2 linked regions of the Callithrix jacchus genome follow. The protein of the gene in region 1 purifies or fractionates together with the protein of each later gene. This does not show direct contact. Links are inferred from orthologs where the notes say so. Each region holds a gene or a part of one and is shown in the gene's direction. Other genes may lie near its edges. The genes, in order: NELFB and NELFA.

Region 1 (3,801 bases):
TTCAAGTGATTCTCTCGCTTTAGCCTCCTAAGTAGCTGGGAGTACAGTCATGTGCCACCACGACTGGCTAATTTTGTATTTTTAGTAGAGACAGGGTTTCACCATTGGTCAGGCTGGTCTTGAACTCCTGATCTCAGGTGATCTGCCCACCTCGGCCTCCCAAAGTGCTGGGATTACGGTGTGAGCCACTGTGCTTGGCTGTTTTTTTAAAATTCTTTAATTTGAAAGGTCTTTGAGTGCATTAAGGACAAATTGCGAACCTGAATTTTTTTTTGTGGTAATGGAGTCTTGCTCTGTCACCAGGCTGGAGTGTAGTGGTGTGATCTGGCCGCCTCCGGGTTCAAGCGATTCTCCTGCCTCAGCTTCCTGAGTAGCTGGGATTACAGGTGTGAACCACCATGCCCAGCTAGCTTTTGTATTTTTAGTAGAGATGGGGTTCCACAATGTTGGCCAGGATGGTCTCAATCTCCTGACCTCGTGATCTGCCCGTGTTGGCCTCCTAAAGTGCTGAGATTACAGGTGTGAGCCACCGCACCCAGCCACCTTAAGCTTTTTTTTAAGAAACCCAGCATGTGGTGGGCGTTCACTGCCAGTCCTGGAGGCCACCCCTCCTGAGGACCTTGCCGCTGATGGGAGGGGCAACAGGTGTTGCATTAACGCCAAGGCGGCCTCCTTCCAGGGACCTGTCCATGATCCTGTGTGACCCCTTTGCCATCAACACGCTGGCGCTGAGCACAGTCAGGCACCTGCAGGAGCTGGTTGGCCAGGAGACGCTGCCCAGGGTGAGCTTGGGCTTCACCAGCGGCTGCCGGGGCCCTGTGGCTGCCCCGCTGGCTGCCCTGGGTGGTCAGGGGTAGGGACTTTGGTGGCCCATGTAGAGTCCCGTGCTTCCCCCCGTGAGACTGGGTTTCACCCTGTGTGTGGGGCCAGTGATCCCAGTCCTGTGGACCTGGCCATGAGCACCAGAGACCCTGCTGGGTAGAGAGTGGGGTCAGAGGAGCTCCGCGCCCAGGACATGCCGCCCGGAAGATGCGCTGAGCCTGTGCTCCCTGCAGGATAGCCCCGACCTCCTGCTGCTGCTCCGGCTGCTGGCGCTGGGCCAGGGAGCCTGGGACATGATTGACAGCCAGGTCTTCAAGGAGCCCAAGATGGTAACGAGCCTCCTGTGGGGCAGAGTCACAGGAGAGGTTGTGGGCTGGACATGGGGTGGAGGGAAGGTGGTAGCAAGGTGATTTTGGAGGCCCCTTTGGTCCCAAAGCTTCCTTTCTGGAGGTGCCAACCTTCCTTTTGGGAAAATGCCCACCAGGGGTGTTCTGGGGTCTTCACTGACTGCGGCTGGCCACGGGGTGGCTGCTGCTCTTTGTGGATCCAGGCCCAGAAGGGGGTTTGAGGAGATGGCCCTGGGTGGGGGACTTGGGAGGTGGGAAGAGGGGCCTGGCGACCTGGAGAGGAGGGTTGGGGTGGTAAGATGTTGGGGGGGGAGCAGGAGGGCCAAGGGCAGGGTGTGTGTCAGCTGGAGTGCGGGATGTGGGGCCCAGGCCCCTCACGGCCTCCCTCCTCCTAGGAGGTGGAGCTCATCACCAGGTTCCTCCCAATGCTCATGTCCTTCCTGGTAGACGACTACACTTTCAACGTGGATCAGAAACTTCCGGCTGAGGAGAAAGCCCCGGTCTCATATCCAAACACACTTCCCGAAAGCTTTACTAAGTATGGGCTGCAGGGCTGAGGGGCAGGGGTGGCACTGTTCCCCAGGGGCTGCTGCAGGGTTGGTCTTGGGTCGAAGTGGGGGCTGACAGGGTGCTGATGGCGCCCTGGGCACAGGTTTTTGCAGGAGCAGCGCATGGCCTGCGAGGTCGGGCTGTACTATGTTCTGCACATCACCAAGCAGAGGAATAAGAATGCACTCCTCCGCCTGCTGCCGGGGCTGGGTGAGTGAGTCCTGACTGAGGGGCTGGGTGAGTGCTGACTACCGGGTCTGGTGAGTGCTGTCTGCCGGGGCTGGGTGAGTCCTGACTGTCGGGGCTGGTGAGTGCTGACTGCCGGGACTGGGTGAGTCCTGACTGTCGGGGCTGGTGAGTGCTGACTGCCGGGACTGGGTGAGTCCTGACTGTCGGGGCTGGTGAGTGCCGACTGCCAGGTCTGGTGAGTGCTGACTGTCGGGGCTGGTGAGTGCTGACTGCCGGGTCTGGTGAGTGCTGACTGTCAGGGCTGGGTGAGTGCTGACTACCGGGACTGGTGAGTGCTGACTGCTGGGGCTGGGTGAGTCCTGACCGTCGGGTCTGGTGAGTGCTGACCTCTGGTGAGTGCTGACCGTCGGGACTGGTGAGTGCTGACTGCCCGGGCTGGGTGAGTGCTGACTCCCGGGGCTGGTGAGTGCTGGCTGGTGGTGCCTGGCGCGCCCACCCTGTGGCAGCTGCCGTGTGTGATCCTGCCCAGGGTGCAGTCCCAGGCCCCCAGGAGCTGCCATCTCCCCAGATCACCTCCGACTTTGCTAGCTTTGTTTTCACTTTTTTTTTTGAGGCAGAGTCTCGCTTTTTTGCCCAGGCTGGAGTGCAGTGGCACAGTCTTGGCTTACTGCAACGTCAGGTTCCCGAGTTCCTCAGCCTCCTAAGTAACTGGGATTACAGGTGCCCGCCACCACACCTGGCGAACTGTTATATTTTTGGTAGAGAAGAGGTTTCACCATATTGGTCAAGCTGGTCTCCAACTCCTGACTTTGTGATCCACCTGCCTTGGGGTCCCAAAGTGCTGGGATTACAGGCGTGAGCGTCCGCGCCCGGCCTTGTTTTCACACGTTTTTGTCTGCAATCTGTTTTACTAGAAAGGGAGAGGGAGTTCAACTTTGTACTTTCCAACAAAAAGGTGATGCAAGAGCTGTCTTTATTTTATCCAGACTGGCAAGGGGTGTGGGGCCCCTCGGTGCTCAGAGGATAGAGCGAGGGGGAGGGAGGGAGAGCACCTGTCTCAGTTCCCCACCCCAGGCGGTGACAGGCCCTCTTCCCCCTGGGAGCCTCCTTGGGGATGGTTGTTGCAAACTAGGAAAAAGAGGAGGGGTCCAGATGGCCACCTTCAGAAGTAGAGCTGCAGGTCCCATGGGGGAGATGGGACCACTCTGGCCATGTGGCCCCCACTGCGGCTGTGACACGGACCCTGGGCCCTTCCCTGCTGACTTGTCTGGGGTTTGCCGACTTAGTGCGCCTTGTGCTACTCTAACAGAGACTCCAGACGGAGCAATTTAGAAAGAGCCGGGATGGCCGGGCGCAGTGGCTCAGGCCTGAAATCCCAGCACTTTTGGAGGCCAACACAGGCGAATCACGAGGTCAGGAGCTGGAGACCAGTCTGGCCAACATGGTGAAACCGCACGTACAAAAAAATACAAAAATTAGCTGGGCACCATGGCAGGTGCCTGTAGTCACAGCTACTTAGGAGGCTGAGGCAGGAGAATTGCTTGAACTGGGAGGTGGAGGTTGTTGTGAGCCGAGATCGTACCACTGCACTCCAGCCTGAGTGACAGAGCGCAACTGTCCTGAGAAAAAAAAAAGCAGGGACTTCTCACAGTTCCGTAGGCTGGGAAGTCCAGGGTCTGCATCTGGCGGGCTTTTTCGTACGGCATCCTATGGGATGGGCAGGCAAGAGAGCAGGGGCAGGGGAGACTGAGCCAGATGCAGAGCCAGACAGAGGAGAGACCCAGAGGAGAGACAGAGATGCACAGACCAGATGAGAGACACAGAGGAGAGACAGAGACACACAGACCAGATGAGAGACACAGAGGAGAGAGAGACACAGACCAGATGAGAGACT
Region 2 (4,233 bases), on another chromosome or scaffold:
AATATGCTCTTAAATTTTATGTGCTATTCGCCATGTAATGGTTGTGGACATGACAGTTTTTGGGGGAGGGTTCTTTTTTTCTTCTTCTTCTACTTATTCATCTAAGACATGACACAGTTTTAAGAGTAATCTCCATCATCCACATTGTCTCTATCACTTTCTTCAGTTTAACCAGGCAACAAAACCGCCGCTCCAGCCCTGATCTGTAGCATTCGCTGGTTTGCGGAGTTCAAACTGGCCGAGCCGCCAGGGCCAGGGCACTGCTAGCATCCGGCTCCGCCCTTCTCACCCGGCGTTCCCACCGGCCAGTGGCAAGAGCTGTGAAGAATAACGAAAAGACCTTTTTAAAAAAGAGATTGTAACACAGAGACCAGGCCAGGCAGCCCGGGTCTGTAACACCCCAGCACTCTGGGAATCAGAGGCTTGACGTCAGGAGTTCGAGACCAGCCTGGCCAACATAGGAAGAGCTCCTCAAAAAGGCAAAAGAGTAAAATGAACATAAGGAAATGAAGTTTAACTTTTACTAACGTTGGTATCTAATGACAAGCTCGTCACACTGTAAAGTTCACTACTAGCTCCCGCCCGGCGGCTCCAGCCCGAGTGGGAGCAGGGGTCTCCCCGCACTGCGGGGTCTCGGGTGCCCTGCGACTGCTCCTCGAGCGCCCTCCGACCCGACTGCTCAGCGCAGCCCCGTCCGCAGCGCCCAACGGGCAGAGCGGGCTCAGCGCGGGGACCGGGATCCCGCAGGCTTGTTCCGCAGGGCCGCGGCTCCTCTCCGCGCAGGTGCGGGGACCGGGCGGGGGGGGCGGGGCAGGCGCGGCGTCCACCCGGTCCGCGCCGAGAGCCAAGTGAGGAGAAAGCGAAGGGCGGACGGCGGGGCAGGTTCCACCGGGAGCCTCCGCCCCACCGGGCGAGCCGCGACTCCTCAGCGCTTGGCACCTGGCACTGAGAACGCCAGGACGCAGACCGGACCTCCAAGCGCGACCCATTCGTGACGTCATCTTTTGGGGTCTCTCCGAGAGCCGGCAGCGGGCGCCGCCATGATGCAATACGGAAGCCTAGAGTCCTTGCTCGGCGGCGCCCCGTCAATCCGGCTCTCGGAGCTGCCACAGAGCTTCCCGGAGACGCGGCCGCCGCCCAGAAGCGCTCTCGTTGGAAGCTCCGCTCGTGGGGCCGCGCTGCCTGCGCCACTTCCGCGGCCCGGAGGCCGCATCTCACTGGGCGCCGCCATGTTGGGGTCCTAGCCGGGGGCGCCTAGGTGTCTTCATAAGATGCCGGCGCTACAGCGCGCGCTTCCTTCCAAGATGGCGTCCATGCGGGAGAGTGACACGGGCCTGTGGCTGCACAACAAGCTGGGGGCCACGGACGAGCTGTGGGCGCCGCCCAGCATCGCGTCCCTGCTCACGGCCGCGGTCATCGACAACATCCGTCTCTGCTTTCACGGTCTCTCGTCGGCGGTGAAGCTCAAGTTGCTGCTCGGGACGCTGCACCTCCCGCGCCGCACGGTGGATGAGGTGAGGCAGGCGGGGCGCCCCACGGCCGCGCCTCCCTGGGACCCAGAGCCCCAACCTTCCCACCTCCGACCCTCACACCCCACTCCTGGCCTCGCTCCCGAACCTCCTCGGTCCCTCCTCCCACCTGCTCACCTCTCTGCAGACTGTCAGTCCCCCCAGGGTCCTCAGCTCCCCCCGCCCCCCCAGTCCTCACCTCCCACTGGGTCCTCATCCCCCGCCCCGATCTTCATCCCCCACCTGAGTTCTCATCCCCATCCTGGGTCCCCAGGCGCCCCCGTCGCACCTCAGCCCCGATCCGGGAACCCTCCCTACGGTGCTCACCTCCCCACCTCTCGTCCTCACCCTCACCTAAGTTTTCACCTCCCCTGGATCCTCAACCCCCTCTCCGCCGGGCCCGGGGTCCTCACTGGCCACCCTGGGCCCCCGGGTACTCGCCCCGGCTCCCCCGCCCCGGTCCTCAGCCGCCCACTCCCCCACGGACGGACTCTCGGGGGGGGGGGGCGCGCCGGCCCCAGCGGGATCTCCCATCGAGGTTTCCCGTCGGGGACGTGGCCCTGGTGGCCTGGGCGGGGGCGGGGATCCCGAGAGAAACCCAGGCGAGGAAGGGGCCGCCCGCTAGCCGGGTGTTCTTGTTCTCACCCCGCAGAGACCCCAGCCGTCCGGAGCGCCCTGTGTTCTTTGGACTCTTTTCTGTAAGCCGGTTTTGCGCCATTCCAGCGAGTGGGTGTGCGAAGCGCGTGGTCTCTCTTCCTAAACGTTCTACTGTGAGCTTTCCGTGCGAAGGAAACCGAGTGGCTTTGCAGACCGTCGAAGCCCCGTGGTTGCTTACAGGTCCCCGGCCACTGGTCTGTTGCCATCTCTCGTAGGTTGTCGTTGTTTTCGACTGAGATGTAACATGTATGAAAAGTACATGTTCGTTCACTTTTAACGAATAGTGATAGCATCGCGAGTCACCCCTGCGACCCTCGCACAGGTGGAGCGACAGAACCGTGCCTGTTCCTTGGAAGCCGCCCCTTGGTAATCACGGGCTTCTCCCTTTCCCTTCCCACACTTTGGAAAGGGAGTCGTTTCTGTGCCATCCCCCTGGTGTTAGCAGTGACGCGCCCCTAAGTGACACAGCCTGGTTGCCCGATTTGGATCGTGTGATGGGCTCACAGAGTGTGTGTTCTGTGCGTGGCATGCATGTGTCCTCTTGGTGGACCCCGGGACACTTTCATCCACACTGCAGCTGACGGGTGTAATTTTCACTGCTGTGTGGTATTCCTCTCTCTGAGTACGAAGCCATCCATTCTATCGCAGTGACACATTCAGCTTACGGCCAGTTTTTTGCTGTAGTAAATAATGCGGTTACTACATGATTGTGATGTATGTGTTCGGGTGTTTGTAAGCTTGGATTTCTCCAGGGTATAATATCTAGGAGTGGACATTGTGGGGATCAGGGGATTATGCCAGATTATTTTTCAGAGTGTTTTGTTTCTGTTTTTTGTTTTGTGTTGTTGAGACAGGGTCTCTCGGTGTCAGCCAGGCTGTGGTGCAGTGGTGCAATCATGGCTTACCTCAGCCTCTTGTGCTCCGGTGATGCTCCCTCCTCAGCCTCCTGAGTAGCTGGGATTACAGGCATACGCCTCCATACCCAACTACGTTTTGTATTTTTAGTAGAGACAGGGTTTCACCATGCTGCCTAGGCTGGTCTTGAACTCCTGACCTCAAGCAGTCTGCTTGCCTCGGCCTCTAAAGGGCTGGGATTACAGGTGTGAGCCATGGCACTCGGCCTGCTGTTTGGTTTTCTGTTTTGAGAATTGTATATTCAAATCTGCTTTTAAATTCTCTTCCCATTGTTTTGTTAAGGGCTTTCTTTTTTATTATTTCTTACCATTGTTTGTTATAGATAACAGTCTTTTTTCAGTTAGGACTCTCTCCCAGTTGTCCTTTGACTTAGCTTCCTGGAATTTTTTCTTTCTTTCTTTCATTTTTTTATTTTGAGATAGCATCTTGCTCTGTCACCAGGGCGGGAGTCTAGTGGTATAATCATAGCTCACTTTAACCTTGAACTCCTGCCTAAGCAGTCCTCCCTCCTCAACCTCTGGAGTAGCTGGGACTACAGACACGCCGCCACTATACCTGGCTAATACGTGTGTGTGTCTGTGTGTGTGTGTGTGTGTGTGTGTGTGTGTGTATGAGGGTCTTACCATATTGCCCAGGCTGTGTGTGTGTGTGTGTGTGTGTGTGTATATGAGGGTCTTACCATATTGCCCAGGCTGCTCTTGCCTCAAGTGATCCTCCTGCCTTGGCCTCCCATAGCGTTGGGATTACAAGTGTGATCCATGTGCCCAGCCTTCTTCCTGGAACTGTGGATGAAGAGCAGCTCCTGGTTTTAACAGAGGTGGGGTATTCATCAGTTCCCCATCATTGGTGCCAACTGTGTCTCACTGGAGGACATGCTGGGAACACTCCCGGTTATCTTGGCGAAGCTGTACATTGTGCCGTTCACACTTGAGTCTTCAGTCTTTGTGGAATTGACGACTGTGTGGAGCTAGGAGTCTAACTTTCCACACGACGTGCAGTTAGTCCCGCTAGTCCGCACCCAGCGTTGATTAGAATGACTGTCCTTTTCCATCCGTCTGCACTGACTTCTGCTGTGTGTCTGTTTCAGGCTGTGCTCTCTCCTTCTGGTCACTGACATATTGACGTGCTGATCACCCAGTCAGTTCCTGTCATT

Evidence for each region.
Region 2: the proteins of NELFB (region 1) and NELFA purify together in Homo sapiens (affinity purification with mass spectrometry; 8 studies listed by BioGRID and IntAct, counting the BioPlex papers as one, with this or other methods). This does not show direct contact. The link is inferred for Callithrix jacchus from reciprocal best matches to the Homo sapiens genes NELFB and NELFA.

The regions. Positions count from the first base shown.
Region 1 is NC_133502.1:185,669,411-185,673,211, forward strand, and holds part of NELFB (negative elongation factor B), read left to right. Parts: intron 1-679; coding exon 680-782; intron 783-1,055; coding exon 1,056-1,151; intron 1,152-1,564; coding exon 1,565-1,707; intron 1,708-1,821; coding exon 1,822-1,928; intron 1,929-3,801. UniProt on the Homo sapiens protein: Essential component of the NELF complex, a complex that negatively regulates the elongation of transcription by RNA polymerase II.
Region 2 is NC_133504.1:191,136,658-191,140,890, forward strand, and holds the start of NELFA (negative elongation factor A), read left to right. Parts: upstream 1-1,289; 5' UTR 1,290-1,304; coding exon 1,305-1,514; intron 1,515-2,160; coding exon of another isoform or gene 2,161-2,206; exon of another isoform or gene 2,207-2,531; intron 2,532-4,233. UniProt on the Homo sapiens protein: Essential component of the NELF complex, a complex that negatively regulates the elongation of transcription by RNA polymerase II.